Linked DNA regions of Rattus norvegicus. The protein of the gene in region 2 purifies or fractionates together with the protein of the main gene of each other region. This does not show direct contact. Links are inferred from orthologs where the notes say so. Each region holds a gene or a part of one and is shown on either strand. Other genes may lie near its edges.

Region 1 (3,807 bases), on a different chromosome or scaffold from region 2:
GTTTGCATGTTTGTGCCTGAGAACTGACTTGGTCCAAAGTAATGAGATGCTACCTATTATGTGTTAGCAGTGTTAGCATTTGCTCTTGCCTGATTACCAACTAGACAGAAAAGTATAGATGCTGTTCATGTAAATCACTGGTCAACGAAGAACCCTGTAACGTACTGAGCATATGACGTAGCATTCCCAGGGGACTTCAGTATCTGGCTTTCTCTTTCTTTGTCATAGTTTTAATATCAAAATAGGATTTGAATTGATTTTTTAAAGAGTTTTTTTACTCTTTCTTAGTCTATGTATTTATTTCTTTTATGTGAGTCCACTGTCGCTGTCTTCAGACACAGCAGAAGAGGGCATCAGATCCCATTACTGATGGTTGTGAGCCACCATGTGGTTGCTGGGAATTGAACTCAGGACCTCTGGAAGAGCAGTCAGTGCTCTTGACCCCTGAGCCATCTCTCCAGCCTCTTGAATTGATTCTTAAGATGGTTGAATAGTTCACAATTCAAGCTATACAAGTGCTAAATAGCGTAAAACTTTTTTAAAAGTCTTCATATCTATAGAAAGCAGTAAAAGTGCTATAGCACTTTGCTTTTGACCTGTCAAGTCCTTTAGCACTGTGACCCCTGTAGTAAATGTAGATGTAGATGGGAGATTGTGTGGAGAGGTGTGTGGGGATCCAGAGGGAAACATTATTTACCACATTGGTATCCTCCTAATGTTCAGGGTTGATATGAGTCTATTGTTTTTCTAGGCTTTTCTCTGGACTCAGGGAAGGGTATTGTTTCTAAAGATGACATCACTTTTGTATCTGGTGCTCCAAGAGCCAATCACAGTGGGGCTGTAGTTTTGCTAAAAAGAGACATGAAGTCAGCACATCTTCTCCTTGAGTATATATTTGATGGTGAAGGCCTGGCTTCTTCGTTTGGCTATGACGTGGCGGTGGTGGACCTCAATGCAGATGGGTAAGCGGATCTTTGTTACTATGTCCAGCTAATGTTGCTGGTGACTGGCTTCTAGAGAAGGACTGTGGATTAGTTGGTTAAAAAAAAAATGCCTTACTATCCTGTCCAGTCTTCATCATTGATTGACAGCTGACATTCATCCCCCCCACCCCCACCCTTGTGACACAGAATAATGACCTTTTAAAAATTACACTTTCACCTGAGTTCACTTGGGGAATCATAGTTTCTTTTTTTTTTTTCTTTTTTCTTTTTTTCGGAGCTGGGGACTGAACCCAGGGGCGCTCTACCACTGAGCTAAATCCCCAACCCCAAGTTTCTTAAAGATTTAAATTTGGAGAAGAAATCACTTAGGGAATCAGCATCAGCTACGTGACAGTCTGTGGTTTCTTATGGGGAAGGGGGCAGCTGTCGAGCATCCCAAGTGTCTCACAGAAAGTTGGAAGTGGTGACCGTCACTGCCTAGAGGACTCCTAGTTCTTGAGGCCAGCTGGAAATGGTAATGGAATGGCAGATCCTTTCTGGAAGTGCTCCTGTACTGTGCCTCTGACTCGAGGGACTACCTTTAAATCGCTACCCTCACCATTTCCTTGGCCTATCACAGATCTTCTGTTCAGTATTTTGATTGATGACACGCGAGTCCCTGATTGGAGGCCCTCTCTGTTGTGCTGTGTTCCTTGGAGCCTATATTGGTAGTAATTTCCCTATGCCTTTTGGCACCTTAGCAGTGGTCCCTAGCTCTCCCCTTTGCTGTGTTTTAGGTGGCAAGACATCGTTATCGGAGCGCCACAGTACTTTGACAGGGATGGCGAAGTCGGGGGTGCGGTGTACGTCTACATTAACCAGCAAGGCAGATGGAGTAATGTGAAGCCAGTTCGTCTAAATGGGACCAAAGACTCGATGTTTGGAATCGCAGTGAAAAATATCGGCGATATTAATCAAGATGGCTATCCGGGTGGGTGATAGGTTATGAAGTGGTTACCATTCGTAGAAAGTGGGTGGGTGTGCCTAATGAGCACTCACAGCATCTTACTTTAAGATGCTGGAGTATTTTTTTAAATAATAACTTGTTTTTAATGTAATGTCAATAGATATTGCTGTTGGAGCTCCCTATGACGATCTGGGGAAGGTTTTTATCTATCATGGATCCCCGACTGGCATAATTACCAAGCCAACACAGGTAACCAGATGACCTCTTTAAAATAGTGTCAGCCTTTTGCCTGTATGTAGCTTTAGGTAACTCTTCAGACACATTTCAGTTTCAAGTATTCAATAGTGTGAATTTAAAAATAATATTTATTTATTTTACTTCTAATTATGTGTATGAGAGAGAGGAGGGAAGGGAGAGGGGGAGAAGGGAAGAGGGGAGAGATGGGTAATGGGAGGGAATACTCAGGAGGTTGGGGGTGTCAGATCCCCTGGAACTAGAGCTGCAGGTGGTTGTGAACCTCCTGGTGGTGGTGGGGAAGGCGGGGAAGAATAATACTGGGGTCCTCTGTCCTCTGGATGGACAGTCTGTGCTCTTAACCACTGAGCCATCCCTCAAGCCTGGCGTCAACTGCACAGTATCCCTGGAAGAAGGCTCTGACACACTCACACAGAGGCAGTGACCTGCTTGTTTTAAAAGGTCTCAGCTAAGTTAGGAAATCAGGGTAACCCGGAGTGAAGACCGTTCGACCCAGAGATCGGGAGGAGGTGACCTGTACTGCTTCCCTTAGCAGTGTGCTTGAACAGGATTGAAACAGGATTGAAACAAATAGAACATCGTAATTACACAGAGAATTCAGACCCCAAGGGTTCTAACTTGTTCTGAAAATACGACTGGAGGGGGCAGTTAGAGTTGGTTTTAAACTACACTGATTAACTTAATAAACAAACCAGGCTTTTATCCTTTGGAATACTGGGTGACTCAGATGGCTTTGGTGAAACAAATCACATGGATCTGTACACCTACAACGTAATATAATAATTATGTTCATCAGCTTTTGTTCTAAATGAACTTTATCTTGTTCTCTCTCTGTTTTCTTTGTTACTACTGGTGGTGACAGGGACCCCAGTCCCCGCTCTGTCCGTCCTGGGGAAGTGCTGTACCGCGGAGCTGCCTCCCTGGCGCCTTTGTGTTTTTCTCTCAGCTGTAGCCAGGCAGCTCAGTTAGTGGCCCAGCGTTCATTCTAATGCCTGTGCATGCGTTCCAGGTTCTTGAGGGTACAACGCCTTTCTTCGGCTACTCAATCGCTGGGAACATGGACCTGGACAGGAATTCCTACCCTGACGTTGCTGTGGGTTCCCTCTCAGACTCAGTAACTATTTTCAGGTGTGTGCTGCCGTTGACTTTGGTTAAACAAGCTTCAAAATGATCTTACTCTGTTGTTTTTGTTTATTCATTTTTACCTATTTATCGAGGCAAAGGCTTGTATAAATTTGAAGGTTTTTTTTTTTTTTGGACGGGATATAACAGTAAATGATAAAAATTATGTAATTTCTTGCTAATACTGAACTGATTTGGAGTAAAAATGTGTTGGAATTAATGGAAAGTGTTGCTTCCTAAATATATCTTTAAAACCTTTCTTCGAGTCTCGGGGATATGACTCTGGCTTCAAGTCACTTGCCTGGCACTGCTGGGCAGGCATAGCAGCCCCTCCTGTAATTCCAGCCCTGGAACGGATTCCTGGAACTAGCTGGCTAGTAGTTCTAGCCTTTAGGTAGCTCTAGGTTTAATTGAAAGTGTAATCAAGGAATCTCTGGGTTACTCTGAGTCCACACTGAGCAGGTGTCGAGCTGTAGGAAGCCTTGGGTAGGGAAGTGCAGTCCGAGGACTGGACACAGCCAGAGCTGATGTGGTGGGTCC
Region 2 (4,524 bases):
ACAGCACATTCCTGGCCTGGCTCACGGCTGGCCACCACATCACGGCCTGGAACACTCCTGTCACCTGCCATTCAGGCACTAGACATCAGAATGATGTTTTCTTCCTCAGTTCTTTTCTTTCTTTTCTGGAGGGAGTGGAGGGATAGACACAGAGAGATCTGAGGGCAATTTGGGAACAACCAAAATAGCTTTGCAAGGTCTGGCTCTGAGGATGTTGGAAAAACAGACTGATTGCTGGCTTGGCTGTGGGCAAGAGACACCCAACTTCAGAAAGGCAGGCTGGGCAGGCTCAGCTGTCATGGAGCAGCCCACAGGGGACATGCTCAGGCCCAGGAGAGAGGCTGATTACCCTTTTCCGGTCCTCCCTTCTCCTCCACTGCCCCACTACAACTAAGAAACGCTGGCTTCTCTTTGGATTCCCGCCACCCAGCCCCTCAGCATCCTCTGCGGGCAAAGGTGGCCCCTGCTTTTCAGAGCCCACACCAGGTACCAAATGTCAAGTTCATAAATCACCAGTCTCAAGAGACTGAAGAGGTGACATAATAATCCCAAGGGTCCGCCGAGATCACCGCCTGTCATAAAAGATATTTTGAGGAGTTTTGCCTCAGCCTTCTTTTACTCCTGCCTGAAAGCCAAACCCAGCTTACCACCTCACTTGGTAAATACCCTGTCACTTGACCCTGCCTATAGCACTTAACCTTCCACAGGCAAGGTTTCTGGTCACCAATAGGCAAATGGGATAACTCTTCTTTCTCTGGCATTATCATGGAGCTGGGGGGGAGCCTTTGGAGGCTGTAAAATACTTAACAGAGGTTGTAACATGACTGTCACCATTAGAGCCCAGGGTAGGACAGGTAACAATAATTAACTTAGTAAACTGCCCACCTCCCTAATGGTAAGAGAGACAGGAGAGTAAAGAAGGAAAACAAGGTGCCCAGAGGTCAGAGTACTAACTCTGCTTTCGATCTTGGGCACTCTGTTTCCTCACGGTGGACACGAGGGCTAGCACCTATAGTTGGTACACAATCTCTGAACCAGTTCCCAACCCCCAAACCAGACCCTTCTAGGGTGAGATTGTTCTGCTTCAGGAGGCACAGTCAACCAGCAGTGCCTCATGGGGGGTGGGGGGGGACGACGACTCTGGATAGGAGTGAAGTGGCAGCAGGAGACAACGCTGGACAGATTGCAGGCCAGCAGGCTACAGACTGAGAAGACATAGGGTGGCCCTGGGCACCTCCCCTCTGCCCCTTGCCTATGCCATGGGGCAGATGGGGGAAGCAGGCAGGCTGTGGCAATATGTGGTTTCCTTTCAGCACCAAACATTCAAACATCTCTGCGGGCAGGCGTCTGGGGACTGACCCCAGACTAGCAGGGGAGCGACTACTTGGGGAGAGTGAGGAAAACTCCCCAGAGGACAGGGCGGGGCTGGGTGGGGCCAGCTGCCTTCAGACTTTGTTTTGTGGTGCTTAAGCAGATGAGTGGGCCAAGCCAAGCCTGGGATCTGGGCTGCCTGTCTGCAGAGCTGGGGAAACAGGCCAGGAGGGAATGCCTTCCGACATCCTCTTAAGTTGTATGGGTGTGGTGGCTCTTAGAAACCCAAGGCGGTCTCTGCAGGTTGGGCAACACTTCCAAGCAACTCCGGGGAGTATTAAAGCTCCCAATTGCTGGAAGAGGTTAAGCATCCCGATGGCCAGCTCCAAGGGAATAGTGTACTTTTTCGTTGTTGTTGAAAGCCTCTGGTGGCACAGGAGTTGCCTGGTTAAACTCTTGCACCGGAGCAAATGCTGTCCATTTGTGTGTAGGCGGTGTGCCCTCCCAGAACTAAGACAAAAGGGTTTTCCGTGCGTTTCCTTGCTTCTGTCCCTTAGTTTCTGGAGAAACTCTCTGATGCTTTTCCCAGAGGTTCATCTGCATAGTTTACTAGCACCTGCCTCTGGGGCCTCTGCAGGTGAACAGCCGTTCCCCGTGGCCCCACCTGGACATTCTTAGGAGGCGAGGCTTCAAGCCCGCAGTGCCTGATTACCTGGGAAATGCAGAAACACCGGACTTATCCCATCTAGAGGCGCCGATAGGCACCCCGCCGTCCTTTAACTAACTCTCCAGAGTTCTCTCCAGCCAAGATAGTTATCGCTCTTGAAAAAGAATCAAGACAATCTAGTCTTTCAGGTAGCTTAGAGGGAGGCAAGGACGTTCTCAGTTGAGCGTTCAGAACTCAAGGAAAGGCCGTCCTCCAGATGCAGGGAAGACTCTCCACACCTATTTCCTCTCCCTTGTGACGCCCCTTACCACTTGTGGGACCACCGAAGTGGGAGACACTCAACTGCCCTGCTGGCCAGGGGCCTCGCGGGCCAGGGAGGGCATCCAGTTACTCGAGAAAGGGTGCTCTGTTCCTCCCTCCCTCCTCTCTCACACTCGGGGGTTCTGCGGGTGGGATCAGGCACAGACCCCATCTCAAATCCTCGGCGTCAGAGGGACCCGGGAGCGAAGTGCACAGCCCGGGCCACGAGGATCCTCGGCTCTCCCACCCACCTGCCCCTCCCGCCCACCTGCCAGTCCCGCCCGGCCAGCTGGCAGCCGCCGCGCCTTTCTCTTCTCGCCCGGAGTCCGCCTGGCGCGCACAGTACCAGCAGCTCCTCGCGCTCTCGGCCGCCGGGACACTCACCGCCCCGGACGCCGTCCCGGGCCTGAGAACAGGTGGTCCCGGAGAGGAGCGCGCGACAGTTGCCTCTCACTCACCCAGAAGATGAAGTTAAATCCAAAGAGCAGGTATTTGATGCACTTGCTACCTCCTTTGACCGGCATGGTACAAGCTGGACTTGCGTGGGACAAGAGGCACGCACGACCGGGACCGAAGGAACTCGACAACCGACTGAGACACGCTGAGGCTAGGGGCTGGCCTGAGGCTCCACTTTTAAAAAGTGCCACTCCTTACGGCGCCCGGCCAGCTGTGATGCGCATGTGCCGAGGGATGCCGACCCCGCCCCCCGCCCACCTGCCCCGCCCATGACTTAATCCCCTCCCCAGACCAGGTTCAGGGACTGCGTGCGGCTCCCTCCGCACTGCAGAGCTCTCCCTGCACTCTTCCTCCCGTAGTCCCGTTCCTAAGATCTTCTTTCCCTCCATCTTCCTTCTTCCCACCGTCTCGGGGTCTTTCCAGACTTTCAGACATGTCTTCTTTTAGCGAGAGTTAAGTGTTGGCCTCGCCTTTACCAGGTCACGCTGGTTCATTCTAGGCTCTGCGTAGGAACATACGTTGGGAGACCCCCAAGGGTCATCTAATCTAAAGAGCCTTTTCAGATTCCTGCGACAAGTCTGCCGGGCCCTGTTTGCCTGGCTTGCGTTCTCTCTGACACCTCCTTGTAAGTAAACCTTTCCTGACTGAACGTACTTATTTGAGCGTAGGGGCCGCTAGAATGTTCAATGTTCCAACCTGAGCAGTTCTTCCTTGCTCAAAAACTTTCTACGTTCAGAGATTGAAATCCTTTATCCTGTATTTACCCCGCCCGTTCTTTCCCTGTCCCACCTGGTACTACACTCCTACTTTGCCTAAATGCCTGCAGGGGTGTGTAGTTGGCCTCCCTGCCCCCTTTATTTTTTATTTAAATGTATTATTATTTTGAGACAGAGTCTTACTATGATGTCCTGTCTGGCTTGGAACTCCCTATGTAAACCAGACTGGCCTCGAACTCATTACTGCCTGCCTCTACTGGGATTATAGGCATGTGCCATATGCCCAGTGATTTCATTATTTTTGAAGTGGGATCTAGCCATAGTAACCCTACTTAAGTAGCTTAAGTAGCTAAGGCTATCCTCAACTGCAGTCCTCCTGCCAGAGCATTTCAGGCATGGACCACCATGTCCTGTTGTGAGGCTCTTTAAAGTCTTTCTTGATTTTCACAACTGAGGGAGGAGGCCCTTCGCCATGTCCTTTTCCGTTTCCTCTCCCTCACCCCTGTGGGAAGTTTCCTTAGCATTCTTTATTGGAAAAGCAAACCATACTTATTACAGAAACATCAGAAAACACCAAGAAGCAAAAAGGACGTGAGTTAGATTTTTTTTCCTGGGTTAAAGTACGTTGGGGGCCAATGCTACAGGAGACCCTGTCTCCAAAAATGAAAAATAAAAACAAGACATTTTTTCACGTAGCAAACCCAGCCTCTGTTAGCATAGCATGGCTCTTTTTTCTTTTTCTTTCTTTCTTTCTTTTTTTTTTTTTTTTACTATTTATCAGTAGACCGACTTCACTATGTATCAGTAAGTAGACTGATTCATTAATCAATCCAAAAATTAAAAACATTTTCCCCTACAGTCTACTTTAGAAAGGTTCTTCACTGGGGACAGGAGTCGAAAGCAACAGATTCTATCTGATTTCTCCCTGATGCAGCTTAGGAGCTGGGAGAAGGAGACAGGCAGGAGACTTGGAGTGTGTGTATGGTCAACTTAGGAGTCTCTGAGAGCTCTGAGGAGAGGCCACTGATCTTCCCTTTTAGGAAGAGGTAACGACCACTAAGTGAGAGTTACTAT

Evidence for each region.
Region 1: the proteins of Cd9 (region 2) and Itga6 purify together in Homo sapiens (co-immunoprecipitation; 3 studies listed by BioGRID and IntAct, with this or other methods). This does not show direct contact. The link is inferred for Rattus norvegicus from reciprocal best matches to the Homo sapiens genes CD9 and ITGA6.

The regions. Positions count from the first base shown.
Region 1 is NC_086021.1:77,066,564-77,070,370, forward strand, and holds part of Itga6 (integrin alpha-6 precursor), read left to right. Parts: intron 1-751; coding exon 752-962; intron 963-1,720; coding exon 1,721-1,914; intron 1,915-2,050; coding exon 2,051-2,139; intron 2,140-3,154; coding exon 3,155-3,273; intron 3,274-3,807. UniProt on the Homo sapiens protein: Integrin alpha-6/beta-1 (ITGA6:ITGB1) is a receptor for laminin on platelets. Integrin alpha-6/beta-1 (ITGA6:ITGB1) is present in oocytes and is involved in sperm-egg fusion.
Region 2 is NC_086022.1:159,972,496-159,977,019, forward strand, and holds the start of Cd9 (CD9 antigen), read right to left. Parts: upstream 2,864-4,524; 5' UTR 2,803-2,863; coding exon 2,737-2,802; intron 1-2,736. UniProt on the Homo sapiens protein: Integral membrane protein associated with integrins, which regulates different processes, such as sperm-egg fusion, platelet activation and aggregation, and cell adhesion.